7 linked regions of the Macaca fascicularis genome follow. The protein of the gene in region 1 interacts with the protein of each later gene in a pairwise test. Links are inferred from orthologs where the notes say so. Each region holds a gene or a part of one and is shown on either strand. Other genes may lie near its edges.

Region 1 (4,088 bases):
AAGGAAGGGGTCACCCTGAATGCTCAGAGTCTTTCAGCCCACTGCCCTGAAAAGCACAGGCCATAGCCCAGGCCGAGTGGTGCAGACTGGTCCACACGTGTGCTCCCAGAGACACACACACTGTGTCTGGGCAGTGCGTAAAGCCATCCACCAGCACTCGGGGGTTGGCATGGAGTGGGCACACAGTTTATGACAGCTGGCTTCCTGGGAATGAGGATCCATCAAAGCAACAGGGGCTGCTGGGAGGAGGAGGAAGCTGGCAAGAAATGAGGGGTGGGACTCACCAAGCCTCCGCCTTGGTACTGGCTGCGGGACACATGCCGGAAGCCCTGCTGCAGGGGGACGCCAGGAGGGGCGTCCAGGTAGCCCAGCGGGAACGGGCAGTAGGGGTGCATGCTGGAGCCGCCAGGGTACTCAGGGCCCAGTGCACGGTCCGGGTTGATGCTCACAGGGCGCCCTGAAGAAGGCAAGCAAGGAGGGAAGTGTTAGACACCGCTGGGAAAAGCATCCGCAGGGTGGCACAGGCCGGCGGAGTCGTAAGCGCTGCTGTCCAAGCACAGAAAGCCCACCCCGCCCTTCCTTCCGCTGGGCCCTCACTGCATCTCCATCCTCCAGCCAGCCCCGCTGCTCTTGGAGAGTCCTCGGCACGGCCATCAAGCCCGCTGTGGGCCCCCGGCCTGCGGCTCCCCGCTGCCCACACGCCGTCTGCCCACACTCTGCCTCTACGAGTCCTCCGTGCCAAGTTACTCTTCCTCCGGGTCAACAGTGAACCCGGCCATGGCTCGAGCTCTGGACAGCGATTTGTGTGACTCTTCAATCAACCCTGTCCCTCCCACAAGGACAAGGTCCCTGAGGGCAAGAAATGTGACCCGCGTCCTTCATCACGAATGCCTGGCTCATAGTTCAGCCCAGCCCTGCTTGTCTGTTGAGATGGAACAAAGAAAGGCGGCTTCTCCTAGAATTGCAGTTTCAGACCTGTGACCCCATCAGATGGGGCGTTCCCTGGGGACCTAGATTTTCCTGGAAAGTCAGGAAGGCGGGACGAGCCTGCGGAAGCCTCTGGACCAATGCCCTGGCACACAGAGGGCAGGAGCTTGTCCAGCGTGACCCAGGCTCCCGCCTCGGCCTCAGCCCGTCCCACGACACCACCATGGGGAGACACCAGGAAAACGCGTCCACACCAAACCCCGGGGCTTTTAAAGCTTCAAATGTACATGTGACTTGAAACTGTACTTCAATACCGAAAGCTCCAAGGCACAGGGAACAATGTAATTTATGTACCAGGTGAGGGGCAAAAAGAAAGGCAACATCTTTACAGACCAACTGTTCTCTTACGTGTAGTAAAGCAGCAGGCTCGGCTCACCCGCACGTGGGGAAAGGGAGGGAAGAGGTGCACAGGCGCACTGGTCCAGGGCCGTGCTGAGGGGAGGAGCCTCCCGACCGCGAACAGGGAAGGAAGAGTGCGCAGGCGCAGTCGTCCTTGCGCTAACCTGCCGGCAGGAAAAGTCTCTTATTCTGGAGGAGGAGCCTCCAGCCCAAGGAAATGGCGGGAAGAGGTGCGCAAGCGCAGTAGGACTGGGCTCCTCGAGGCCTCTTCCCGGAGGAGGAAGCACTGCTAAGTCGACTGGACGCCATTTTGTTCTTGCATGCCAGAATGGCACAAACTACAGCTAAATGTTAAAAGCCCTTTGAGCCAAGCGCGGTGGCTCAAGCCTGTAATCCCAGCACTTTGGGAGGCCGAGGCGGGTGGATCACGAGGTCAGGAGATCGAGACCATCCTGGCTAACATGGTGAAACCCCGTCTCTACTAAAAATACAAAAAACTAGCCGGGCGTGGTGGCGGGCGCCTGTAGTCCCAGCTATTAGGAGGCTGAGGCAGGAGAATGGCGTGAACCCGGGAGGCGGAGCTTGCAGTGAGCCGAGATCGCGCCACTGCACTCCAGCCTGGGCGACAGAGCGAGACTCCGTCTCAAAAAAAAAAAAAAAAAAAAAAAAAGCCCTCTGAACCGCCCATTCCCTTATGTTTCCTTTTTGCGAAAAGGTACCCAATCCAAATCCCCGTTCCAAGAAGGGTTTCTTAAAGCAGAAGGTACGTTACCCGTGGAAAGCATTCTCCCCACCCCAAACCCCTATGCCAGCTGCCCATCCGGGCTGGCCTGTACTGCCAGCTCGGGGAGTCCACCGCGGGACTGAGGCCACGACTTACCAAAGTCGGTGAACGGCGGGCCAGGCACGGGCCGCAGCGGCCTGCGCAGGTCCAGGGGGCCGGGGTAGCCACTGCCTGTGGCCTCCGCCCCAAAAGGGGGTCCCGCAAGGCTGGGCATCGCCACGGCGGCTCGCTCGCTCGGCTCCACGTGGCCGCGGCCGCCCAGAACCGGTTGGAAGGCGCTCGGGCCGGGACTCCGGCCCCGCGGGGGCCGCTCGAAGAAGCAGGCGGCCGCGCGGCCCTCGGGTCCCGGCTCGGCGTCTCCGGAGGGAGTCCCCGGAGGCAGAGGGCGCAGGCTCCCGCCCGGGAGGGGAACGGGCGCGGCGGCCGCGGCCCCGGAGGCCTGCTCTGGACCCTGCGCACACAGGGCCGCCTCCTGCTCCTCCTCGGCGGCCTGCGTCTTGAGCACCTTCTGCGCGGCCATGATCTTCTGGCGCTCGGAGATCAGGTAGCACTTCTCGCAGAGGCACTGCTTCCAGCGGCATTTGCCTGCGTGGCCCTTGACGGGAACCAGGAAGCCATGGTTCCTGCATCTCGAGCACTTAGGGGTGCGCACCATCTTGTCGGCCATTGGCAGGGTCAGCCTTCGTAGCACAACCACCACCTCTGGGAGCTGCAGAGCAAGTGGCGCTGGGTTGAGCCGCGCCCCACAAGTCCCTGGTTCTGGGGACATTGGATACACTTGTAACAAAGCACCTCGCAGTGTGTCCCGGGAACTGCAGCAAGAACCTTGCATTTTCCCTCCTTTTGGGGGGTGCACAGTTTGGAGAGTTTCTGTGCTTTGGGTAATTAGATGCAATGGACTGGGTTGCATAAATTCTTAATGGGATTCTATTGCATGTATGTCATTTAGCTTATCTGAAGTCTTAGGCATGTAATTTTCCAAACTCTATTCCCGCCACCGACGGAAGGTATTTGTAACTTCAGGAAAGGCGGAGTGATATTCAACGGTCCACAGATTTAAAACTCGGGAGGAATGTAGCTTTCAGTGTAGAAAAGCACTGTAAGAGGCAAACCGTATTTCTCCTCCCTAAAGCTGCTGCTTCTGTGGCATTTCACTTCTCTGCCGTGCAGAGATGCTTCCAGGATATTCCAGAATATTTTCAAGAGCTCAGTGCAGTGTGATGGTTGCTCAAGGGTATGCCCTTGCAGTAATTCCCGTTTCTTGAGAGTCTTTGTGTAGAAATCCTCTTCTGGAGGATGGCACATTGCTGATGTTCATGCCTTCCAAAGTAAGCATACTTAGAATATTTTAAAGTAAAATAGGCAGAATATTCTGGCACTAAGCCTGGCATAGTGTCCTGTGCCTGTAGCCCTAGCTGCTTGTGAGGATCACTTGAGCCCAGAAGTTGGAGACCAACATGAGCAACATAGCGAGACTCCTGTTTCTAAAAAATTAAATAAAACAAATTCTGCAAGACCCCTGTTTCTAAAAAATTAAATTAAAAAACTGTCTAGCACTAGCTTCAGTAATTGCTTAACCTCATCATGAATTTTGTTATCCTTATAAAACAACGCAAATATTGGGACATCTGAAAAGCTAACACAAACGTCATAGTTTACCCAAGGACATTAAGGTTTTTTTGTTTTGTTTTTTCTTTTTTTTTTTTTTTTTTTTGAGACAGAGTCTCACTCTGTCACCCAGGCTGTAGGGCAGTGGCGTCATCTCGGCCCACTGCAACCTCTGCCTCCCAGGTTCAAGCGATTCTCCTGCCTCAGCCTCCTGAGTAGCTTGGATTACAGTCACCCGCCACCATGCCCAGCTAATTTTTATATTTTTAGTAGAGACGGGGTTTTCGCCATGTTGGCCAGGCTGGTCTTGAACTCCTAACCTCAGGTGATCCGCCTGCCTGGGCCTCCCAAAGTGCTGGGATTACAGGTG
Region 2 (4,130 bases), on another chromosome or scaffold:
GAAGAAAATGACTTTATTCTAATTAACTCACAAAGAATAAAATCATAACAGCTAGTTTAAGGAGGTAACACATTTTGCCCAGTCCCAAATTCTACAGAGTAGGAACACACCCCCTTCCATTTCAGTTCTGAAGTAAGGAAGCTAGGAATGACAGGAGAGGTTTAACTGATGGTTACACTTTATACCTTCACTATCAATTCTATTTTTACACTAAATTAACTTAAGGTATGAGAGCTGATTTTCCATCTCTCCAGGTTGAACTTCTTGATTAGGCCAATCCGTTTGCAAGTCGGCACTGTTTCAGCACCTCATTGAAACCCTCACAGAGCTTGATGTCACCCTGGTTCTGGGCACACTCCAGAAACTGTTTGATCTCATAGAAGCAAGGCTGCTGCTGCTGTGCCAGCTGGGTTCCCTGTGGCTCCTGGTAAGTGATGTCAGGACTCGCAGGCTCCACTTATTTTTTTTTTGAGACGGAGTCTTGCTCTGTTGCCCAGGCTGTAGTGCAGTGGTAGATCTCGGCTCACTGCAACCTCCACCTCCCAAGTTGAAACAATTCTGCCCCACCCTCCCGAATAGCTGGGATTACAGGAGCTTGCCACCACGCCCGGCTAATTTTTTGTATTTCTAATAGAGATGGGGTTTCATCATCTTGGCCAGGCTGGTCTTGAACTCCTGACCTCGTGATCCACCCACCTTGGCCTCCCATAGTGCTGGGATTACAGGCGTGAGCCACCGCACCCGACCTCCTCCAGGTTTTATTCTAAACTCTGCCACTTTTAATCAGTGGTGCAAATATGGTTATTTTTTGGTTTTAAGAGTGTTAGTCCAAACTGCACCATTTTGTAAATCCCTGCCCCCCGCCCTCCCCCGTTCCCCCGGCCCTGCCCCGTCTCCCCCACAGGCTATTTTGCAGACCTTGGTCAAAGTGAAACATTCCACGGGGGTTCGGGCTGTGAGAAACATCCTGCCCAACCACCTGACCACAAAACGGACAAACGCACCACTAAAGAAACACCTCTGTCATATTCTGCTGTGAGAAAGTGCGAAGAACACCGCATTCCTGCAGGGGCATGGTGGCTCACCCCTGTAATCCCAGCACTTTGGGAGGCCGAGGCGGGTGGGTCACCTGAGGTCAGGAATTCCAGACCAGCCTGGCCAACATGGCAAAACCCCGTCTCTACTAAAAATACAAAAATTAGCGGGTCGTGGTGGCGCGCGCCTGCAGTCCCAGCTACCGGGGAAGCTGAGACAGGAGAATCGCTTGAACTCAGGAGGCGGAGGTTGCCGTGAGCGGAGATCGCACCACTGCACTCCAGCCTGGGTGACAGAGCAAGGCTCCATCTCAAAACAAAAACAAAAAACAAAACAAAAAAACCCACCACCACCACATTCCGCGGGAACAAGGGCCAGAACCGCCTCGTTATGGGAACATCTTAACATCCTGCAGGGCAGCAAGCCAGTAAGCGTTATGGCCCAGGCCCCTCCCGCCCTTACCTAAAAGTATCCCACTGGTGGGCACCGGCATTAGGCTGGTCCCCCACTTCTGTAGATCTTAGGCTGGACATAAAGCCTGCATTTGCTGTAGAGCCGCCACTCTGTTTCTTTAACGCTGGCCTTCCCTTCAAAAACTTATCAAGGAGTTTTATTCTTAGAATGTGTACTCAAGTTACAGCCATAAAAGCATCATAGGAGGTACGCTGGCTACCCACGGTGGGCCTAATGCAGGCACCATGAGGATCAAGGTGCAGAACATTGATTTCTGTTGGCTCACACTGAGCTGACACGTTCACTGATCCCATTAGTAATCTGAAGCCATCTGACGCTAGTGGTATAACATTTACTTATTTTTTAGAGACAGGGGTCTCCCTATGCTGCCCAGGCTGGTCTCGAAATCCTGGGCTCAAGCGATTCGCTCTCCTCGGCCTCCCAAAGTGCTAGGGTTACGCGCCAGACACATCGCGCCGTGAAGTATTATTTTTAAAGTAATTGTTTTAGTGGTCGCAATCAGGGCACGTGCTATTGTGTATCCTGAGTCCCTCACTTTTCCTTGTTCACAAGTTATTCCTTGTTCTAGCGTTCAAAAACAATTTTCAGTGAGTGGGGACGACACTCTCCCCTAAAACTGCAATGTTTTCTCGGTATCGGGAGATTAGAGACAACACAGCAAGCATCTACAACTTCCTTTCATCACCCACCTCTGGCTCCCGCCCCGGCGCCTGCGCCCACCGTGGTCACGCGTCCGCCAACGCTCCGGACGCCCGCCCCTTCCGCCTGCTCGCCCCGTGCATGCCCCGCCCCGCGGCGGAGACGCGCTCGTTGCGTCATCGGTGTTTTCGAGGCGAGTCCCGACGCAGCAGCTGTCAGCTCCATTTTGTTGTCGGTGCTCGTCGCAGTCAGCTGGGTGATTCCCGTGATTGCGTTACAAGCTTTGTCTCCTTCGACTTGGAGTCTTTGTCCAGGACGGTAAGACGCAGGAGGGAGCGGACTAGGTGACAGGGCCGTTCCTGTGAGCCTCGCGGGCGCCTGGCGATGCCACCACTTCCCGCTTGTTTGCTGCCCGCCGTCCCTGGCGCGACGACTGCCTGCTCCCTTCACTCCCAGGCTGCATAATGGCGGCGCGCCCCTCTTTCCTGCGCGGCCGAGCCCGTCGCCGCCGGATCCGGCCTGCGGGAGTAGTTACGGTGTTTGCTAGGCCGGCCGCCCTCTTGGAGTGTTCGCCCTCCGCTGAGGGAGCGGCGCCGCCTGACGTGGGAGGGTCGGGTGGGCGCCATGTTGTGGGCCGCCTCGGCCGAGCTGTAAGATGGCGGCTGGGCGGAGGCCGGCCTTGGCACTGTGGCCGGAAAGGCGAGGCTCCCTGTTGGGGGTGGGGTTTGCTGGGGTTCCGGAATGTGCTTGAAGCACGCAGCTGTGGGGAAATGTCGTCTGGAGCAAGTGGAGGAAGAGACGGAACCCGTAGGGGGTTACAGTTAATGTCTAGTGGTTAAAGGGTCGGCGTAAACGTCGCGAGTGGCTTTGTCCTCAGTGGTGTTAACAAAAACGAGACTTGGGAACCTAAGGAAAGAGAAATGCCGGGGTGTATTTGAAGGAGCGTTGTGACAAAAGTCTGGTGACCGAGCATTTTATGCGATGGCGTTTCAGCGTACTCCTCTTGGGTTAGCAGTTGGAGCTTTTGTTTCTTGGAGTGTCGCTCTGTCGCGCAGGCTAGAGTGTAGTGGCGCGATCTCGGGTCACTGCAGCCTCCGCCTCGCGGGTTCAAGCGATTCTCCTGCTGCCTCAGCCTCTCGAGTATCTGGGATTGCAGGCCCGCGCCACCACGTCCGGTTAATGTTTGTATTTTTAGTAGAGACGGAGTTTCATCGTATTAGACTGGCCTCAAACTCTTGACCTCAGGTGATCCATCCGCCTCGGCCTCCCAAAGTGCTGGGATTACAGGGGTGAGCCACCGCGCCCCGCCTCCCTTTTTTTTGGGGTGGGGGGAGAAGGTCTCGCCCCTGTCGCCCAGGCCGGAGTGCAAGTGGTGCAATGAGGGCTCACTGCAGCCTTGAAATCCGGGCTCAGGTGATCTTCCCACCTCAGCCTCCTGAGTAGTTGGGACTACAGGCGCGCGCTACCACCCCCCGGTTAATTTTTTATTTTTTGTAGAGTCAGGGTCTCGCTATGTTGCTCTGGCTGACCTCGAATTCCTGGGCTCAAGCAATCATCCTGCTTCAGCCTCCCAAAGTGCTGGGGTTACAGGCATAAGCCACGGCCCCCGACCCGGTTGGAGGGCTTTAGAAATTGTACTCAGGCTGGTCCAATGGTAATGGGTTATTATAACTTAGTAGTTACTAGTGTCACAAAAATTAGTATACAACCCCTACAGCTAAATTTGACAGGCTTTAAAAAAAAAAAAAAAAATTGTAGCCAAAGACGCAGAGGGGTTCCACTTGGAAGAAAGAACGGCAGTTGATGAATTTCTATATAATGTCGTTTTCAAGTTGTTAGGTTAGAGATTTTCGATTTTGTTCGAAGGATTTCTGAAAAGAAGGTGGTTCTTACCATTCCCAAATTGATTGTGTTAACATTGCGTTTAGGATAAATTATGTCGTATGTGATTGGGAGTGGTACTGGAAAGATGGTGTTTTGTT
Region 3 (3,500 bases), on another chromosome or scaffold:
AATCAATTGTGGTACAGTAGCAAACATTGCAGGTATTAAGTGCAATGAGCTCATGATGCCGTTATAAATATGAAACCCATGTATGACAATAAATTAACAATGAAAAAGACAGGACCATTTAATTCTGCTGTCTGGCTATCTCCTTGCAATGCTTCAAATTATGTTGTGCTCATTCAACACAAAATTATGTCTCTCAAATTGCATGATGTGTTTTTGCTGATATATCCCTAGAGCTAAAAAAATAGTACCTTACCACAAAAATATTTTTATGGCACAAAATTTAAGTTGTTCCATAGTGGTTCACATAGGTGTAAAAAGAAATAGGCACAAAAAATAAAATTCCTGTAAACTATAAAAAAGTAAATTTCAAAGCATACATTATAGAACCTAGTTGTCAATATGCAATGTATTAAAATACAGAACATGTAATGGAAAGATGTTTAGAACACGTAAGTAAATTGAACAAGTTACTTTAAAAAACTTCTATGGCAAAGCATTATTGATACATCTCAATTCTCTCAAAAAGTATTCAGGTACAGAGCAGTTCTACAAAAACTTCCTAGATCTAAGTGTCACAATACTGCAACCATGGGTTTGAGACTGTTGCAGTATCTCAGGCAAATATTTAAGTGCAATAATTAGTCTCTGGTGACTGGTCCATTGAGAAACAATGCAGTAAATATATTAAAACACAAAAGGGAAAGAATATCCCAACATCCACTGCTACCCAGCCAGCTAGGTAACACAACCCTCATTTTTACTTCTTTCCCATTTCTCAAGGGTACATAAAACTGCATCAGTAGCAACCATCTCTCCAATTTCCATCCCTCAGAGTGCTGAGTGAAGACAGAGGCTTTGGAGGCTGAAGAAAACTAAAAAGAGACAAGAAAAACACAGAGAGATTGTTAATAATCCTGTAAGTCACATTACTTACTTTGACCTACTCTCCCATCTATGCTCCTCCACTGCAGTAACGAGAAGCCATTGGCAATATCTCAAGTGTACCTTGTGGTTCACACTTACGGGTCTTCACTGCATGCTTATCTCCCAAAGCCCCAGTTCATGGCAGAGTGTCATGCGTGTTGTATTTGCACAAGTAAATTTCCAACATAAATAAAGGGGCCAATACCCTTAATGTGTAAAACATATTTTAAAATAAGAAAATACAGACTCCTGGCTAGAAAAATGGCCTAAAAACATAAATGGTTACTCTGTTGAATACAAACAGCAAATGAATACGAATAAACTTTCAAAATCGTATTAGTAATTAAAGATTTGCCTATCATGTTGGCAAAACATTTAAAAAGAACCTTCGGCTGAGTGCAGTGGCTCACACCTATAATCCCAACACTTTGGGAGGCCAAGGCAACAGGAACACTTGAGGCCAGGCATTCAAGACCAGCTTGGGCAACACAGCAAGACCTTTATCTCTACAATTTTTTTTTCAAATTATCTGGGAGTGGTGGCATGCACTATAGTCCTAGCAAGGCAGGAGGATCACTTGAGCCCAGGAGTTTGAGGTTACAACAAGTTATGACCACACCACTGCACTCCAGCCTGGGCAAAAGAGCAAGACCCTGTCTCTAAAAAAATACATAAAATAAAAAATTTAAATTAAAAAAAATTAAAAGGAATAATACCTAGTATTTGCTTAAGTTTGGGGAAACAGACCATCTTATATTGTCTAGCAGTGACCTTTCCAAGTGTTTAGTTTGGAGACACAAATTCAAGGATAAATAATGTATGGTCTATAATAACCATATATATCAAATAATGTGATTCTAGTCAGCCATCAGCATGATGACGCAGCTCGGCATTTACAAAGCAGAATAAGCCAAAAATTACTGAATAAATAAACATGTACCAAAATTGTTTCTATCTGGTAGTAGGATTATGGGTCAGTCTTTACTTTTCTATTTTTCAACAGTTTCTGTTTTTCGAAATTTGTTGTTGATCTGAGCATCCATTACTTCTAAACAAAAAACAGAACTATTTATATATCCATAAATGCATAAAGACAGAAAAAATTGCTTGTTCCACCTCTTTCAAATTTTTACTATGTTTCCTCCTTCTCCTCCTTCATATCCTAATTTCTTGAAAGAGCTGTCTGTATTTACTGTCTTTATTTCCTCAATCTTTCCTCAAACCACTTTTATGGATTTTTAATATAAGACACTCCATAATATTCAGTTCAAGAAGGTACATCATGACCAAGAGCTGGACTAAAATGTCCTTTGAAGTAGAAAAAAAAACTCTGAAACTTTGAAGGGGAAAAAAAAATTTCTACCTGAACCATACTGAACTTACCAACATAAGCTGATAAAGCCCCAGGTGAATGTCATTAAGATGCTTTTCAAACCATAAATGTGTGGGAGGAGGGTGTGCATGTGCACATATGCCTGACACATTTTTCCATATTTTCATTAAAAATGACTGATTCAACAAATATTTGAGATCCTACCCATACTGGGCATAGTTCTTGGCATTGGGGACACACAGCAATGAACCAAAGAGTCAACTCCCCCTGCCCTACAATTTTTGGATAGAGCTGCCGTCTGAGCAAAGACCTGAAGGAGGCACAGAGCAAGCCGTGCAAGTAACTTGGGAGAAGAAAGCTACAAAAGCTCTGGAGACAGAGCTTGTCTGGTAAAAGCAAAAGTGTTAGGAGTGATAGTGATGAGGGAGTAGGGGAAGAAAATGATATCAGAGAGAAAGGGACCTGACCCACACAGGGATATCCATCACTTTTCAAAGGGAGGAGAGCACAAGTCAGGCCACAAAGGGTAGTGACTTACTAAGGTTAAAGTGCGCCAAAGGAAAGGTCAGCGTGTGTCTGGAGCAGTTTCTAGTTCCAAACTGCAAATGAAATTATGCAAATAAAGATTCTTACCTTCTAACAGGTTGTGCAATTTTGCTTCGAGGCAGGTTACTCCCATTTATTGCCAACGAAGGTCTTGGGAGTGCACTGCGACCCATTATCCCAGAAGCTGCAGCTTTGTTCGGTGTGGGGATTCCTGTGTTGGAATACAGCTGTAAGCCGTTTGATACAGGCATGTTACTGCTGCCTTGAACGGTTGGACTCACATAGGCTGTGGCTTTAAGAGGTTGTCGGATAGACACTGGGAAATGCCCCACGCTGTGGACTCTGTGTTGAAGCTGTCCTGGTGATGGAACTAGAAGAGAAAATGATATTCATGTGAGCGAGCTTCTACCACTATCCAACTTAGGAAATGTGTGCTATTTTCAGAAGAGCCAATTATGCCTGAGAGTACAATATACACAGAAGGAGATAAATGGAATATAGGCACCAGATGGCACTGAGTCATGGAAAATTCTAATCCTTGATACGGATCTCCTGGTCTGTCCATGAGCCACATTTTGAAGTGCCTGGCTATATGCAGAAGCCAGTTCTAAGCACAGCCTCCTTTCCTTTACAAATGTGATGATCTCTGAGTTCTTACAAGACAAAGTCTTCCCTGCTTGCTTGCTAGAAATTAGGA
Region 4 (4,171 bases), on another chromosome or scaffold:
TGGACTTATATCTTTTAGAAGGTAACTTAGAAACCGGCCGGGCGTGGTGGCTCACACCTGTAATCCCAGCACTTTGGGAGGCCGAGGCGGGCAGATCACGAGGGAAATCATCTTGTACACATACTTTATTTTATAGCTAAGGAAAACAGAGGCCCCAAAATGAAAGATTTCTGCAGGCACTCAGCTAGTTGAAGGCAGGACCTAAATCAGTGATGATCTGAATACCTGTATGACATAGGGGAATGGACCTACAACAATGAGAATGCACAGAAGGCTGGGTGTGGTGGCTCACGCCTGTAATCCCAACATTTTGGGAGGCTGAGGTGGGTGGACCATCTGAGGTCAGGAGTTCGAGAACAGCCTGGCCAACCTGGTGAAAATCCCCCTCTACTAAAAATACGAAAAATGAGCTGGGCATGGTGGCACATGCCTGTAATCCCATCTACTCAGAAAGCAGAGGCAGGAGAATCGCCTGAACCCAGAGGTGGAGGTAGAGGTTGCAGTGAGCCGAGATCGTGCCATTGCACTCCATCCTGGGCAAAAAAAAAAATGTATAGAAAGAAAATAAACAAAGAACACCCACAAATACACAGAGTGAAAAAAGGATTCTCAGAGGGATAGTTCTCAGCTACCCCCAAGGACCTAACCACTCTTTCCTCTGCACACCCCTGTGAAGTCCCTACATATTGCTCCATTTCCGAATATCACTATCTTTAGCCAATTTGAAGGCAACCAGCAGATAATAGGCCCCAGGAGTAAATGAGGGAAAGGGATGGGGGTCTCACTATTAACTATGATTGACAGAAATGATAAATGAATACATACAGACATACACACACACACACACACACACACACACAAAGTAGAACCTGCTCACCAGCACCTATATCCAGTCTTCCCTCCTTACCATCCAATATTAGCTCACCTCACCTGCAGTCTCCCATATTCCTGTCTTTTTTTCCATGGCCCTGAGCTTTTACTTCTCACAATCCCTCTACCTGACAGAGTTCTAATGGAAAATAAAAGCAGGCAAACAAAACAAAAGAATTCAAAAATAAACACCAAGAGGGTCACTTTACCTAAATCAACACAAGTAACAGGGTAAACTCTGCAAAGGAGACCAAGAAGCACACAACAAATACGCTAGGCTTAAGTACAGCTCCGTCCCTAACACAGGAAGTCAGGCAGAGGCTTGAAAAGCAGGGAGCAGAGCACAGGAAGTCTTTTAGCACTGCAGAGATTTCCAAGAGTGGTGTAATGGAGACAGCACAGGAATAGGAATTAGAAGACCAGGCTTCTGGTTCTAGTTTTACTATCAGCTAACTGGGTGGCCTTACCCAAGTCACTCATCTTCTCTGGACTTCTGATTCCCCATCTATAAAATAAGGTGGTTAAAACAAGCTGGGACTCAAATCCCCTCCAAAAAAAACCAAGATGAAAATTATTGACTCTCTGCCACCAAAAAGTGCACATCACCTTTTATAAGTAAGAATCTTCCTAGTCTGTCCAGGTTAAGAACCCCTGGAAAAGATGTCTAGTCTTCCTCATCCCTCTAACATCCTATGACTCTGAGAGAACTAGGCACATGTCTGCACAATTGCTGATAGGTGAGACTCACCATTTCATAGCAGTATTTTCTGGGCAGAGACCAAACCCTAAAACCTACAAAGGTTTCAAGGTCTTCCTCAAAACTATGAAGTCAACTGACATCATCAATACCTTTCCCATTCCCTACCCAAATTAACCACTTTTATCTTTGAATCCAGAATTGAGAATCCAGTCTTCTAATAGCCCTATAAATTTTTTTTTAATAGCCCAGGACATTAAAGAGCTATTTTGTGTCCTGGAGATGTAGAATGCAATTGGCAAAGAACAGGAGGGACATGTCTGGTGTCTCCCTTCAGACTCATTAGTATGCTCCACAAAGTTAATGAGACTGAGCACCACCGTGTCCCCACAACATTACCAAACTCCCTGTACTTCTCACACTCTCTGTGTGTTTTAACCCACAATCTCAGCCACATCCCCTCGGGGCTCTCTCTCGGAGTTTTCTTGCTTTTCACTCCTCTCCTTGAAACGCCACTTCTCTTCCCCATCCCAGCGGGTGCCCAGGGCTGCCAAAAGGTACTCCCTCTTCTTGGGAGGTTTCCCACGAGATCCCCTCTTCCTCGACTCCGTCCAGAGAACCCAGGATTTCCCGGCTTCCACTCCACCCCAGGGCACTAAGGAAGGATTTGAAGAAATGGAATCCATCTCAACCACGTTCGATTTCCCCCCAAAACCTATCCACTCGTCGTGCCTCCTCGCCCCTCAGGAATCAGGACCCTCTCAGGCACACCAGGATCAGTCCTGCAACCTTCGTTCCTAGCCCGAGCTCGCCCCACCTTCCAACCAGGCCCCGACTGGTCCCCCCATCCCACCTCCAACCCAGGACCCCCGGAGGCCCTCCCTCTTTCCAAGCCGGGGAGCCCGGGGTCGCCCCTCACGCCACTCCCCCTCTCCCCCGCAATAACTGGGCGCCCCGTCCCGCGCGGTCACCTGCATCCCGCCGCCACCGTCGGCCGCCGCCTCCTCAGTGCGCGGCCGCTTGCTCAGGCCAGGATCGGCTCCGTCTCCTCCGGCTCCGGGCACCGGCAGCTCCAGCTCCGACTCCCGCTTCATGCCCCGGGCAGCGGCGCCGGGCCCGAGCTGAGGCGGCTGCTGCGGCTGGGCGCCCTCCGCCATCCGCCCGCGCCCCCCTCGCCTCCGGGAGCCGGGCGACCCGCGACAGGCCACCTCCCCCTGGGCCTCGGCCCCGACTGTCGCGACAGGCGGGCGCGCGCCTGCCCCCGCCCCCCGCGTGCGTGCGTGCGTGCGTGCGCGCGAGCGCGCGGACTCCGCGCCCCTCCGCGGCTCGCACCCGCAGCTCCTCGCCTGGCCGCTCGCTCGCTCGGCCGCCCGCCCGCCGGGTTGTCGGCGCGGGGCCACTGGCGGGTCGCGACGGGCACTCGCTCGCACCCCCGCACGCACACGCGACACCCGGCCCGGCCCGCCGCGCCGCCCCGCCTCTCGCACTCCCGGAGCTCGCCCGCCGGCCGCGCTGGCTCACACTCTCCCTCACAACACGCCGGCCGAGGGAGGAAGGGGGCGGTCCGGGCTCCCAAGGCGTAGGGAGGGCTGTTTATTTGGGGGGAGGAGGGGCGCGAGGCAGGAACGAGCTGACTGGCCGGGATCCTCCGACCCGCCACTGTGGCAGCACCGGGAAGGCGGGGAGAGAGAAAGAGGGAGGGAGGGACCGGGATGTAGGACTCCAGCCCGCGCGGGAGGCTATGGCTAGGGGGGCGGTGGCGGCCTGCGGATGGGCGGGGCCAGCCCTTCTCGGCAATCTCCGTCGCCTCCTCGCTAGCTGCCCGAGGGAGGCTGGGAAGCGATCGGGGAAGCTCGGGAATCTCCGGCACGGGCCTGGGACTGTCCTGGAGGCTCCGCGCGGCAGGAGTGCCGGCCAGCGCAGAGGGGGCGGGGTCAGTCTCCTTTTGGGGCGGGGCCGTAGCTTGGAGCAGGCGGGGCTTGAGAGACCCGAGGGCCAGGGAGTGGCTCCTGCCTGTGGGACTAGTTGTACAGTGTTGTGTCCTGAGTTTACCCGCCTGAGCACCTTGGTTCCCGGGGAGGGAATGGGCACTCTGTGAGAGGCAGGCTATTTGCCTGCTTCCCCTCCCGCAGAAGGAAAAAGATCTCGAATTGGAAGGTCGAGGAATGAAGCCACCCGTCTGTAGTTCACCCCAGCTCTGAGCGCTTTTACTCTGACATAACTCACATTCCTAATGAAGTTAGTACTAATATCCGATGTTTGTAAGAGTTTTAGGGTTTGCACAATGCATCCACAGACCCATTTCAAACTGGTAATATAGGTAGATACCATGATCTCCATTTCATTGATGATGAAACTGAACCTTAGTTAAATCCTGCAGCAAAAAAGTGGCAGATCCAGAATTCAGAACGCTGGACCATACTCTCTTTCTCTACACTTTGCTGCCTGAGGAGCTCTTTATGACTTGTCAACTTCGTGGAGACAGAGATATCTGTGCAATAGATTCTCTCCCCTACCAGACTGTGAGAACAAGGACTGCTGTGATTTCCCTGGGTTCCATATCGTGCCCTGTACATTATAGGAATAAAAGGATATTGCGTGAAT
Region 5 (4,289 bases), on another chromosome or scaffold:
AAGGCAAAATTACCCGGATCATTCAGGCCACCTTAGTTTCTTTTCCTGAATTTCTGACATTATAAACCCCCTCTCTTCACAGTCTTATCTGTTTTGTACACGACATCTCTTGGACAACTTAGGTTCTGAAATCTTCCTACCAGTCCCCTTATTTTTTACATAACAAGTGTTTTGCTAAAAATATCGATACTTTCTAGAGCCTCATGCCATTCCTACCTGAAAAAGAACACTGTCAGGTAACAGGACAAGTAAGAGGCAGCAACCATACTGCAATGGTCCGCGATTATACAGCAATTATTACACACAACCTCGCAAGGACAGAGGAGCGTCCAGGAACAGGGCAGGCAATCCCTCGGTGCTGGCAGCTGTTAAGATGGGTCAAGCGGAAAAATGTGCCTTTTCTATACTTAATTTTAAGTGGGTATGATTTTTAGGACATTGAACCTCTTTTGCTACCCACCAAAAGGAAAAAAAAAAAAAGTTTTCTCAACTGGGTAAATAAAGATGGTTTGATATAATATTCTAACCCTGAGAAGCAAACAGATTGCACATTTAGCTGAAATAGGAAGATTTCTGAAGCGATAATTATTTTGATATGGTAAGTGAATTAGTTAACTATAGTAATTCCTAAAAAAGCAAATTTAAAAAAGCATTATTTTTAAATTTTTTTAAGTGGTAGGGAAAATAAATAGCAAAGCAGCCAGTAAAGTTCAAGAAAAAAAGTTAGAACATACCATTCAACTCTCCATTGCTTTGAAAAAAGAAACGCCAGTAGCATTCCTACACTTGTAATTAGAAAACATGCATGTAAACAACTCTTCAAATAGTCTTTTATAATAAAATAGAAAATGTCCTCGGGTGAGAAAGCAATTTTTGACTGACTGCAACTCATCTAGGTTTTCACTACCATACAACTGGGTAAGAGAGTAAAATCTCCGATTTTGCACTGTTTGGCATAGTCTCGCTCCTCTACCTTCTCCACCTAAATAGTTCCCATTTTCCAAGTGGACAATGTGCAGAGAACTTGTATGCATTAATGAATTCCTCTGCAATTTTGGTTTCACTATCAGAATTGAAGTTTGCACACAACAGTGTCTCAACAATGATCTCAACGTCCTAACGCTTTAGAATCCGTTTACCTTCTGTGTTCACCTAGATCAGGATGCAATACCTGTGTGAATCTTTTCGGGTCATATTGAGACATGCACTTTCCTGCATCTGCACACACTCTCAAGTTCCTCTAGAATGTTAAGAACTCAACTGTGTGTGATATTAAAAAGTACGCCAGAAGTAATTTCTTGGACTCCAGATAATGTACCTGCAGAAACAGTCATTTGGTAGGATACCACAAATACCCTACTACTGAATTCTGAAACGTTTGTTCCTGAGTCCGACTCCCCTTCTGACCACATCTACTCAATTTTGTTTCCACCGAAGGAACGCTCCGCAGTCACAAAACTTTCATCGTGAGGACGCACCACCTAAAATGCGTGCTCAGAAGTCAAAGTCCTATAAAAGTATCCTCGATGAGCATTTGGTGAATTGCTGCGTTTTTAACCCTCTTATTCTGCTCCCCTCATCTGCACGGCCCTAAATTCGCAAGCGTTCACCGCCCAGGTTCGGGGTCTTTGACTCAGCAGAGAAGAATGTGGCTGATGAGTTATCTATTAATCCAAAAACCCTCGGCTAGAAAGATATTTCACCAAGAACTTTTAACACGGAAAGGGAGGGGGCAGGGAACAGAGGTATCTTTTAATGAAAACTTTTCCCCGAGTTTCTTCCTTAAACTGCCCCCCCGCTACCCCGAATCCACACACAATTTCCAGCCCCAGCCCTAAGTCCTGACCCTCCGAGTCCCGATATCTGAGGTCACCCAGGAGTCAGCTCTCGGTTCCACTTTTTAAATCCCGGGCAAACAAAGCTGAGCATTATACTTACAAAAGTCTCCGAAAAGTCCTTAGAGTTACGCAATTTGGGGCCCGCAGACGCGCGTGGACACAAAAACACACTTTCCCGAGATCCACCCTCCCCGGGCCACACTGCGGGGCTGCGTCCCGGGCACGGGCCATGCCTAAACCTTCCACCGCCGCGCCCCGGGCCCGCGCCCGCGCCCCGCCGGCCGCCCGCACTGGGTCCCGGATCGCCCCCGCCACTGCACCGAGCCGCCCAGTACCTCCTCCTCCTGAAGGTTGGCCTCGCTCGGGGTGTTCTCCTTCTCGGCTTTGCCGCCGTTGTTCATCTTCCCGGTCCTTCCTCGCCGGGCCGGGCAGGGCTGGGGCGCGGGGCTGGGCGAGGGCGCGCTCGCCCACTGTAGCCTTCCCCGGGCGCCGGGGCTCCCTCGGGCGGGCGCCGCGGGCTGCGGGGCTGGAGCTGGAGCCGGGGCAGTGGCTGTCGGGCTGGGGCTCCCGCGGCGAGACTGCGACGGCAGCGGCGGGCGACTCAGGAAGTACGAGGGAGAGACGGGGCAGGGCGCGGGCCGAGAGCGGGGCACCGAGACAATCGGGCCCCGGGAGGGCGACCTGGATAGGGAGGGCGGGAGCCAGGGGAGGAAGGAAGAAGGAAGGAAGGAAGCAAAGGATGGGGCGAGGACGCGCGTCCCAGGAGTAAGCGCAGAGAGTTGGGGCTGGGGGCTGCAGCCGCTGGAAGGAGGGGACGGGGGTGCCTAGAGAGGAGGAGGAGGAAGAGGAGGAGGAGGAAGAGGAGGAGGAGGAAGAGGAGGAGGAGCGGGGCGGAGAGGCGCGGGCGGCGGCTGGGACGCTGGGACCCGAGAGCCGCTGAGTGCGCGCTCCAGGCAGGCTCTGGGAAGTCCGGGATGGAAGCAGCTCCCTTTCTCTCGTCTTCCTCCCTCCCCTCTCCCCTCCCTCCTCTCCGCGCCTCTCCTCCTCCCTCCGCCCTCCCTGGACGTGGGCTGCCGGCTGCAGCCCGGAGGGACGGGGCGCGGGACGGAGCCCCCCGCGGGAGGAGGGGCCGGCGGCCGGATGGCGCGCGCCGGGGAGGGGCCGCGGGCCGCGGGCGGAAGCGGCGACCCCAGCCCCAGACTCGGCGGCTGGTCGGAGGGCGAGGGCCCTGGAGGCCGAGGGCAGGGGAGGTCGGGTACTGCAGTTCCCTCGGCCCCCGGGGGCCCCGGCGTCTGCGCGCCCCGGGACTTCGGGGACCCTGCCCCGCCGGGGCCAGGACCGGGAGCTGGGATGTGTGCGACTTTTGTTTGCCGGCTTTTACCATGGGATTTGCACCCCTGGCCCTAAGCCCACCCTTCCCGAGCCAGACCCGGTTCTTCCCCTGCTGTTTGAATGACAGGATGAGAACTCGAGGGACACCGGGGACAGCCCCCTCCGGGCCGGCTTTTTCAGGACAGGGCTTCAAACCCATCTCCAGCGCGGGTCCTGCGACGCGCCCGGAGCCTTCCCCGCTTCGCTGCCTGGGCGTCCCGCGGCCCCCGACTCCTCTCCCAACTCTCACCCGACTGTTCTGGGATTGTTTACTTGGCCTCTCCCTCACCCTTCAGAAAGCTCCTTCCTGGAAGAAAAAACCACAAACTTACCCTATTTATCTTTTTAATCCCACGGCTATTTAAACGAGCTACCGGGTGTATAGTAGGCACTCAATAAATATTTGTTGGCAAAGTGAATATTCCTCATTGCAGGCAGAGCTCGGGGTCCACACGGAGGAATTTCAGAGGCTGGAAGCACACTTGAAGAAGAAAGGGGGCCTGGGCTTTGCACCAACTTCAGGATTGCGTACTTGTTTCCTCATCCGTTAAATGGGAGCAGCTGAATGTGTCTCCTAGCGTTTTCGAGATTGTAGGTTGATAGAACTATGTACAGCACCCAGTATTCATTCTTGCTTCGTTTAGGTTTACAATACATGGAAGCTAACATTATTATTAAGGAAACTTCCATTTTTCCCGGGCCTTAGAAAGCTTTTCCAATACTCGATCGTTAAAGCCTCTGTTTTTTTTGTTTTTTTTTTTTTGTTTTTTTTAGAAAAATGAGGGTCTCACTTTGTTGCCCAGGCTGATCTCGAACTCCTGGCCTCAAGTGATCCTCCGGCTTTTGGCCTCCCAAACTGATGGAATTACTGTCTGGAACCACTGTGTTAAACTCTTAGATTTGACTGCTACAAATGTATAAATGTGGAACTCCATGTATCAGTGGGTTCTGCCCCACTTCTTACTCCCAGGAATTCTCCGTCCCAGCCTGCTGCTCCTGTCCTGCACCAGTAAGTTTCTAACTACAGTATTTGCTTAACTGTTTCTCCCCACCCCCCAGCAGACATTCTTTATACTGATT
Region 6 (3,993 bases), on another chromosome or scaffold:
CAGTGAGCCAAGATCGCGCCATTTCACTCCAGCCTGGGCAACAAGAGCAAAAAAAAAAAAAAACAACCCAGAATTGCTGTCAGGCACAAAAATGCCCCACATAAAATAGATGCTTGATCAAATGGTCTCTTATTTTAAAAAAAATAAAAATAGCTATTATTGGAAGAAAGAAATAGACCCCAATTCTCCCCAAGTCCCTTCTGCCCTGAGATTCTAGACCTCTGCCTCGCTTCTCTGTCTTCCCAGCACCCCAGCTCCAGTCCGGGACACAGCCGACACTCAACAAATATTTGTCAAATTGGGAGAAAAAGAACTATATCTTGTAATTTTCCATTTTAACATCCTCTCTTCCAACTGCCCCCAGGACTGTCCCCCAGCCAAACCAGCCAGAAATCAGAGGATCCTAGGTTCCTCCACCCCTCCAACATTGCCTAGGAATTTCTGAGGGATCTTGGCCATGTCTTTTTCTCTTTGAGCCTCAGTTTCCCCAGCTGGGTAATAGGGGCATGGGTTTTGAATCCTGGCTGTCCTTGGAGAAGAGGCACAGCCCAGTAAGTCGGGTGTGACCACCTGCAGGGGAGACCCCTGGAAAGGTGGGAGTGGCCTTCTGGTGGGACAGGCATCTGGTCACTTCTGCACTGCACCCCACCCCAGCACCCCCACAAGGTGGGATGCTTGATCACCGCCCCAGCAAGAGGTGGGCCCTGTGGGAGGGCCAGGGCTTCCAGGGCTGCTGGTGGTGGTGGTGGTGGTGGTGGGGAGGGCAGGGGGCCGGCCCAGACACCACTCCTGCCCTTTTACGGTTGCAGTGAGTGAGGCAGCACTAACTCGGACATCCGCCATCCGCCTTCCACTGAGCCTGGGACCGGAAACGCGAGGGGGGTGGAGGGGCGGGGCTGGGGGGCAAGGGGAGAGAAGAGTCCCGGAGGAAGAGGGCGAAGGAAGAGAGCGACGCTCCCTAAACTGACCCCTCTCCAGGGCGGACTTGGAAGGGATGTTGCTATAATGGGGAGCGGATAGGATAGGCAGGAAGTCTTGAGGGTATCTGTGGGTGTCCTCCTTGCTCCAAATTTTCCAGCCATGCCTTTCACATCAGAAGGAACAAACGCGGGAGGGGAATTCTCTAGTGGTCATAAAAAGGAACGCCACTCCACTCCGATGTCAAAGGGCAGGGGTTCAGGAAATGCAGGGGATGTGGGCACCACGGGGTTAATCCCCAGCCGTCCCCAGGGGCCTCCCTGCTAAGGCTGGGGGCTTTGGGGCAGGAAGTCCCAGAGAGAGTGGAGGAAGGGAGATAGTATTGTCAGGCTCTGGCCCCATGGGAGAGATTATGGGGGGCCAGGGGAGGGGAGAATGGGAGGATGGTTGGGTCCCCCTGCCCACACTGGCCCCGCCCTCAGGTGAGTCCAGGAGTTCGGGGGAGGCCCCGGCCAGACCAAATCCCTGGGTCCCTTGGGCCGCCGCCCCCAGGATTAAATTCCTGGGAAGATAGCTGGAATTATCTGGGAAGCCTGGGTCCCTAGGGAAGAGGGCTATGACCTTGAAGCTTTCCAGCTCCCCCTCCTCCAACCCCAAGGCTCCGGATGGATGGGGGGGGCGGCGAGCAAAGGGGGAGGCGCCGTGGTGGGGAAGGCAGCCGGCCCACAGCGCTCGGTGCCCGCCCCCCACACCAGCTGTCTCGACAGGTGAGTCAGGAAGACAAAGGCCCCCTTCCCCCAGCTGCTGCGTCCCCTCCCTCCCCAGGGCCGCGCAGGTGGGGGAGCCGGGCCGCCCTTATGGCCCGGGGCAGGGAGCCGCCCTCTGCTCCGAGCGCCCGCTCTGTCCTAGGCACTGCCTGTTAAGCAGATTGCGTGCGGAGCGACGGGGGAGGGGAATCCCACCAGACTCCGGAGGCTGCGTCCGGGTCCCTGGATCGGTTCATACCAGCCTCTTCCACAGGAAGACCTAAGTGCCCCCCAAAATTTAGGGGATTAAGAAGTACCCCCGAAGTTCAGGAGCGCGGTCTCACTTGGGGAGACTTTTTCCAGCACCACGTAAACGGGGTCCCTGCACACCAAGGGTCTGAGTCTCAGTCTCTCTTCCAAGTCCCAGGGTCTCCCAAACCAGTCCCCCACAATCCTTCCCCGACCTCGAGCTGAAGTTTGGGGGGAGGGGGAGGAAAGTCTGAGCCCTGCCTCAATCCTGGCATCCCTGCGGGGAGTCGCTGCCAACTTTGAGGTCCTCTGAAAAAAAGTCTTAACAATTCGGGAGTCCTCCGAGCGTCCCCAAATCTTGAGGGCTCCCAGGGGAACCTCACCGCCACCACCCCCCGAGCTTGGGAAGTCAGTCGTGGAGAAGTGATCGACGGTTTTGGGGCTTGTCCTAGGGGATTCAGCCCAAATCCGAGGCTCCCAAGGATCTGTCCCCAAATTCCAGCCCGGAGCGAGCTGGGGGGGAGGGGGACAAAGGCGGGGCGCGGAGCCCGCCCGGGCGGGGACGGGTCGGGGGGCAGGTCCGGCTCACCTCATGGCTGATCTGCGGGCGGGCGGCGCGCCCACGGACTGGCTGCTCCCGGGGCGCCCCTGGCTGGAGGTTCAGGGGTTCGGGGCTGGCTCCGGGCTCGACTCAGGCTCCCCCAGGGTCCCGCCCCATAGAGTCCGGCTTCCTGGGTAGAACGTGGACCGGGCCGGGGCGGGTCTCCGGGCGCCGCTTCCCTCAGGCGATCTGATGAGAGGTCCCTGCGGCAGAAAGGGGATGCGGCGTCTGCTCCCCGACGCGCCCCCCTTGCCGGCGGCGGCTACACTGTTACTCTTACTACTGTACTTCTCTTCGTTACATTTCGTTCCAAAATTCCACTCCCCGCACCCACAATGCCCCGCGCCTTAAAGGGGCCGCGCGCGCCTCCAGGCGAGGGGGTGGAGGGCGCTTAAAAGGGCAACTCGGCACCCTCTGCTTCCGCGATCTTGCTGCTCTCCCCAACGTTATCGTCCAGGGGTGCACCCTGGGAGTCACCACCACATGGAGGGGCAAGCTTGGTGAAGGGGAAGGCGACCTCCCTTGCTCCCTAGTTCGCTTCCACTGTGGGAATTCTCAGGAGCGTCTCGGAAGGGGCACGATTTCTTTCCCCATCGACTTCTCCATCTCGTACTCCGCTCAATTTTGGGGGTCGAAGAGGACCCTCCAGTTAGTTAAGCAAGTGGTCTCAGATTTTCTCCCTGAAATTCCATCTTCGGAACCCCGCCCCTCCCCAGCGTCTCTCTTCTGTCAATTTCGGAGGGGTTACTAAGGGGGCGAGCCCCCCACCCGCGCGGGAGGGGAGGTGGGGGGGAGTAGGGCCCCACCCCTCTCACCCCACCCCGCCCGCCCCGGGAAGGTGAGGAGGAAGTGGGCCAAGGGGGCGCGGTCGGCCGCTGACTCACAGCCGCAGGGTCGGGGGTGGGGTGGGGGTGGAGGTGGGGACTGGCGAGGAGTGCCGGAGTTGGGGGCCTGGCATTCGCCCGAGGTGGGCAGGAGGCGCCGGCTTCTTGGGTATGTAAAGCCTCCGACCCACGTACGCCCCGCTCTGACTCAGTTTCGCCTGCGGAGGACAGCAGGATCATCCCAGCCCTCAGGAGGGCCCGGAGGTGAGGAGACCCTCCCCGGAGCCCCCGCCCCCACACGCCGGCTCCAGGCTGAGCCCAGACACCCTCCGAGGCTTCCGCAGCGTGTCTTGCCGGCCACGCCCCGAGTGACGTCACTGATGTGGTCGCGCCCCTTGGGTAGAGCGCCACCTGGCCCGGGTGAGGGCCCGGGTGAGGCCCTGGGAAATCAGTTTCACGTTTACACATGGGTAAACTGAGGCCTGGAGACAGGGAATGAATCTGGCCTATGACCCTCTTGCCTGAGCCCCCAGAACCCGGAAAGCCACCAAGATCTGAGTGTAAAACCAACAATTATCAGGGCCAGCTGACTAGGTGAGAGAATCCACTTTTCCAGCGTATTTCCAAGCCGAGTCCCATGTCCGGATGTTTTCCT
Region 7 (3,500 bases), on another chromosome or scaffold:
CCTAGTAGTATCCAAAAATATGTGGATGAGCTAGGACAAAAGGAAAATATTAACAAGAGAGGGTTTAAAAGTAAAGCAAAGGCTGGGCACAGTGGTTCATGCCTGTAATCCTAGCACTTTGGGAAGCTGAAGCGGATGGATCTCTTGAGATCAGGAGTTTGAGACCAGCCTAGCCAACATGGTGAAACCCCGTCTCTGTAAAAAATACAAAAATTAGCCGGGCACAGTGGCTCACACCTGTAATCCTAGCACTTTGGGAGGCCAAGGTGGGCAGATCACAAAGTCAGGAGTTTGAGACCAGCCTGGCCAATATGGTGAAACCACGTCTCTACTAAAAATACAAAAACTAGCCGGACATGGTGGCGTGTGCCTGTAATCCCAGCTACTCAGGAGGCTGAACCCGGGAGGCAGAGGTTGCAGTGAGCCAAGATCGCGCCACTGCACTCCGGCACAGGGTACACAGCGAGACTCCATCTCTTAAAAAAAAAAAAAAAAAAAAAAAATTAGCTGGGCATGGTGGTGCATACCTGTTGTCCCAGCTACTTGTGGAGCTAAAGTGGGAAGATCACTTGAGCCTAGGAGGCGGAGGTTGCAGTGAGCTGAGATTGTACCACTGCACTCCAGCCTGGGTGACAAAGTGAGACCCTGTCTCAAAAAACAAATAAATAAATGAAAAGTAAAGCAAAAAGAATTGAGTGAAGCTGAAGTTTATCAGTGTCAGGATGACTCAAACCAAAGTGGAAGGCATTCTAGGAAGCACTTTTTAAAAATTTTAATATAGATTGAACTCAGAGGTTATAAAACATTGAAAAGATTTGTGAGTGAGACGGTGATTTCCTGTGGCTTCCTTGAGAAAGGACAAACATTTCTTGCCAGGCAGATAATCTAACTTTTGAGGCCCTTTCCAGCCTCAGGATTTGATGTGGTTCTGTAGTGCAGCAATCTCCAAGCTTCTTGGCACCAGGGACCAGTTTCTTGGAAGACAGTTTTTCCACAGACTGTGGTGGGAGTGGTTGCAGAATGATTCAAGTGCATTACATTTATGCTGTACTTTATTTCTATTATTATTACACTGTAATATATAATGAAATAATTATACAGCTCACCATAATGTAGAATCAGCGGGAACCCTGAGTTTCTTTCCCTGCAATTCGATGGTCCCATCTGGGGGTGATGGGAGACAGTGACAGATCGTCAAGCATTAGATTCTCATAATGAGTGGGCAACCTAGCTCCCTCATGTGCACAGTTCACAATAGGGTTCATACTTCTATGAGAATCTAATGCCCACTTTGATCTGACAGGGGGCGGAGCTCAGGCAGTAATGTATGTGATTGGGGAGCAGCTGTAAATACAGATGAAGCTTGCCTGCCACTCACTTCCTTCTGTGCAGCCCGGTTCCTAACAGGCCACCAGAACTTGGGGACCCTTGCTATAGTGCTTCTGTTCAAGCCCTGAGGCAACAAAACTCCTTATCGTTTCTTGCCAAATCTGATCTGCCTTTATCTAATCAGGTATTGATACTGCTGCTCCGTGTGGTCTGAGGATGCTTCTCCACCCTGCTCCTCTGAGTAGCAGCTGGGTCCCAATTAAGACTTGTTCTGTCTGTTCTTGTAGCTCTTTATTTACTAGGAATCTACAGAATAATTCTTTCTCACAGGCTGGGCAAGGTGACTCATGCCTGTAATCCCAGCACTTTGGGAAGCTGAGGCGGGTGGATCACCTGAGGCCAGGAGTTCAAGACCAGCCTGGCCAATGTGGTGAAACCCCATCTCCACTAAAAATACAAAAACTAGCCGGGCGTGGCAGCACATGCCTGTAATTCCAGCTGCTTGAGAGGCTGAGGCACGAAAAATGCCTGAAGCCAGGAGGCGGAGGTTGCAGTGAGCCGAGATCGTGCCACTGTACTCCAGCCTGGGTGACAGAGGGAGACTCTGTCTTAAAAAAAAAAAAAAAAAAAAAAAAAAAATTCTTTCTCACAGATAATTAATCTTTCTGTTAATTCTTTTTTTATAGCAAGGAAGATGTCCGAGCAACTGAAAAAGACAAGGTTGTTGGTTGGTTCTCTTTTTTTAACGGCTTTACAAATCTCAATCCCTTAAAAGTATTATCTCAGACCAGGCATGGTTGCACACACCTGTAATCCCAGTACTTCGGGAGGCTGAGGCGGGAGGATCACTTGAGGCCAGGACTTCAAGACCAGCCCTGGCAACACAGTGAGACCCTGTCTCTACAAAAATTTTAAAAATTAAAAATTAGCGGGCATGGTGGCTCATGCTTGTAGTCATAGCTGCTTGAGAGGATGTGGCTGGAGGATTGCTTGAGCCCAGGAGTTTGAGGTTATGTGGTGGCACAAACCTGTAGTCCTAGCTACTTGGGAGGCTGAGGCAGGAGGATCCCTTGGTCCAGCAGTCCAAGGCTGCAGTGAGCTACCATTGCATCACTGCACTCCAGCCTGGGTGACACAGTGGGATTCCACCCTTAACAAAAAAGGGCTGGGTGCGGTGGCACACACCTGTAATCCCAGCTTTTTGGAAGGCCAAGGCAGGCAGATCACGAGCTCAGGAGTTCAAGACCAGTCTGACCAACATGGTGAAACCCCATCTCTACTAAAAATACAAAAACTAGCCAGCGTCATGCTGCGCGCCTGTAATCCCAGCTACTCAGGAGGCTAAGGCAGGAGAATCGCTTGAACCTGGGAGGTGGAGGTTGCAGTGAGCCAAGATCGTACCACTGCACTCCAGCCTGGGCAACAGAGCGAGACTCCATCTCAAAAAAAAAAAAAACAACAAACAACTTTTCATTTGTATGATAATACTATAGAAGCAATTAAAAGTTGTTGACTTGACATGAGTAATGATGATTTCTACCCTCCAGGATTAGAAAGTAGACTGGCTTTACCAGAAGGGTTCACAGTTTCATATAGACCCAGTCTAGAACTTTCACTTACCATTCCTGTTCTTTCTTTACAGGTTGAAATTTATAAGAGTTTCCGCCCAGGTGACATTGTCTTGGCCAAAGTGGTATCCTTTATTCCCAGCAGACTTCTGGGTTTTTGTCAAAAGAAGAGATGGAGGCTGGGCGTGGTGGCTCATGCCTGTAATCCCAGCACTTTGGGAGGCCAAGGCGGGTGGATCACCTGAGGTCAGGAGTTCGAGACCAGCCTGGCCCAACATGGTGAAACCCTGTCTCTACTGAAAATACAAAAATTAGCTGGACGTGGTGGCGCATGGCTGTAATCTCAGCTACTCGGGAAACTGAGGCAGGAGAACCGCTGGAACGCTGGAGGCACAGGTTGCTGTGAGCTGAGATCGCGCCACTGCTCTCCAGCCTGGGTAACAGAGCAAGACTCCGTCTCAAAAAAACAAAACAGAGAAAGTAGAAAAACAACTCAGCTGACTAAGGTTGGGGGAAGACTTCTAACTCCTCATTTTCCTTCAGTGTTATGTGACTAGATCTCCCTAGGTGATGCACAGTCCAACTACCTGCTAACCACTGCCG

What was found.
Region 2: the proteins of DMRTB1 (region 1) and NIF3L1 interact in a two-hybrid assay, tested with the Homo sapiens proteins (2 studies listed by BioGRID and IntAct). The two-hybrid records come from large-scale screens. The link is inferred for Macaca fascicularis from reciprocal best matches to the Homo sapiens genes DMRTB1 and NIF3L1.
Region 3: the proteins of DMRTB1 (region 1) and SLAIN1 interact in a two-hybrid assay, tested with the Homo sapiens proteins (2 studies listed by BioGRID). The link is inferred for Macaca fascicularis from reciprocal best matches to the Homo sapiens genes DMRTB1 and SLAIN1.
Region 4: the proteins of DMRTB1 (region 1) and RBFOX2 interact in a two-hybrid assay, tested with the Homo sapiens proteins (3 studies listed by BioGRID). The link is inferred for Macaca fascicularis from reciprocal best matches to the Homo sapiens genes DMRTB1 and RBFOX2.
Region 5: the proteins of DMRTB1 (region 1) and RBPMS interact in a two-hybrid assay, tested with the Homo sapiens proteins (2 studies listed by BioGRID). The link is inferred for Macaca fascicularis from reciprocal best matches to the Homo sapiens genes DMRTB1 and RBPMS.
Region 6: the proteins of DMRTB1 (region 1) and VASP interact in a two-hybrid assay, tested with the Homo sapiens proteins (2 studies listed by BioGRID and IntAct). The two-hybrid records come from large-scale screens. The link is inferred for Macaca fascicularis from reciprocal best matches to the Homo sapiens genes DMRTB1 and VASP.
Region 7: the proteins of DMRTB1 (region 1) and EXOSC1 interact in a two-hybrid assay, tested with the Homo sapiens proteins (2 studies listed by BioGRID). The link is inferred for Macaca fascicularis from reciprocal best matches to the Homo sapiens genes DMRTB1 and EXOSC1.

What each region holds. Positions count from the first base shown.
Region 1 is NC_088375.1:181,219,375-181,223,462, forward strand, and holds the start of DMRTB1 (doublesex- and mab-3-related transcription factor B1), read right to left. Parts: upstream 2,801-4,088; 5' UTR 2,778-2,800; coding exon 2,207-2,777; intron 458-2,206; coding exon 285-457; intron 1-284.
Region 2 is NC_088386.1:96,632,240-96,636,369, reverse strand, and holds the start of NIF3L1 (NIF3-like protein 1), read right to left. Parts: upstream 2,801-4,130; 5' UTR 2,199-2,800; intron 1-2,198. UniProt on the Homo sapiens protein: May function as a transcriptional corepressor through its interaction with COPS2, negatively regulating the expression of genes involved in neuronal differentiation.
Region 3 is NC_088391.1:68,771,851-68,775,350, reverse strand, and holds part of SLAIN1 (SLAIN motif-containing protein 1), read right to left. Parts: intron 3,174-3,500; coding exon 2,891-3,173; intron 873-2,890; coding exon 797-872; 3' UTR 1-796. UniProt on the Homo sapiens protein: Microtubule plus-end tracking protein that might be involved in the regulation of cytoplasmic microtubule dynamics, microtubule organization and microtubule elongation.
Region 4 is NC_088384.1:15,621,971-15,626,141, reverse strand, and holds the start of RBFOX2 (RNA binding protein fox-1 homolog 2), read right to left. Parts: upstream 2,801-4,171; 5' UTR 2,725-2,800; coding exon 2,539-2,724; intron 1-2,538. UniProt on the Homo sapiens protein: RNA-binding protein that regulates alternative splicing events by binding to 5'-UGCAUGU-3' elements. Prevents binding of U2AF2 to the 3'-splice site.
Region 5 is NC_088382.1:33,583,769-33,588,057, reverse strand, and holds the start of RBPMS (RNA-binding protein with multiple splicing), read right to left. Parts: upstream 2,801-4,289; 5' UTR 2,240-2,800; coding exon 2,174-2,239; intron 781-2,173; exon of another isoform or gene 738-780; coding exon of another isoform or gene 735-737; intron 1-734. Other genes in the region: uncharacterized protein, read left to right, coding at 2,813-3,574.
Region 6 is NC_088393.1:53,567,455-53,571,447, reverse strand, and holds the start of VASP (vasodilator-stimulated phosphoprotein), read right to left. Parts: upstream 2,801-3,993; 5' UTR 2,508-2,800; coding exon 2,503-2,507; intron 1-2,502. UniProt on the Homo sapiens protein: Ena/VASP proteins are actin-associated proteins involved in a range of processes dependent on cytoskeleton remodeling and cell polarity such as axon guidance, lamellipodial and filopodial dynamics, platelet activation and cell migration.
Region 7 is NC_088383.1:106,390,234-106,393,733, reverse strand, and holds part of EXOSC1 (exosome complex component CSL4), read left to right. Parts: intron 1-2,015; coding exon 2,016-2,049; coding exon of another isoform or gene 2,050-2,056; intron 2,057-2,971; coding exon 2,972-3,022; intron 3,023-3,454; coding exon 3,455-3,500. UniProt on the Homo sapiens protein: Non-catalytic component of the RNA exosome complex which has 3'->5' exoribonuclease activity and participates in a multitude of cellular RNA processing and degradation events.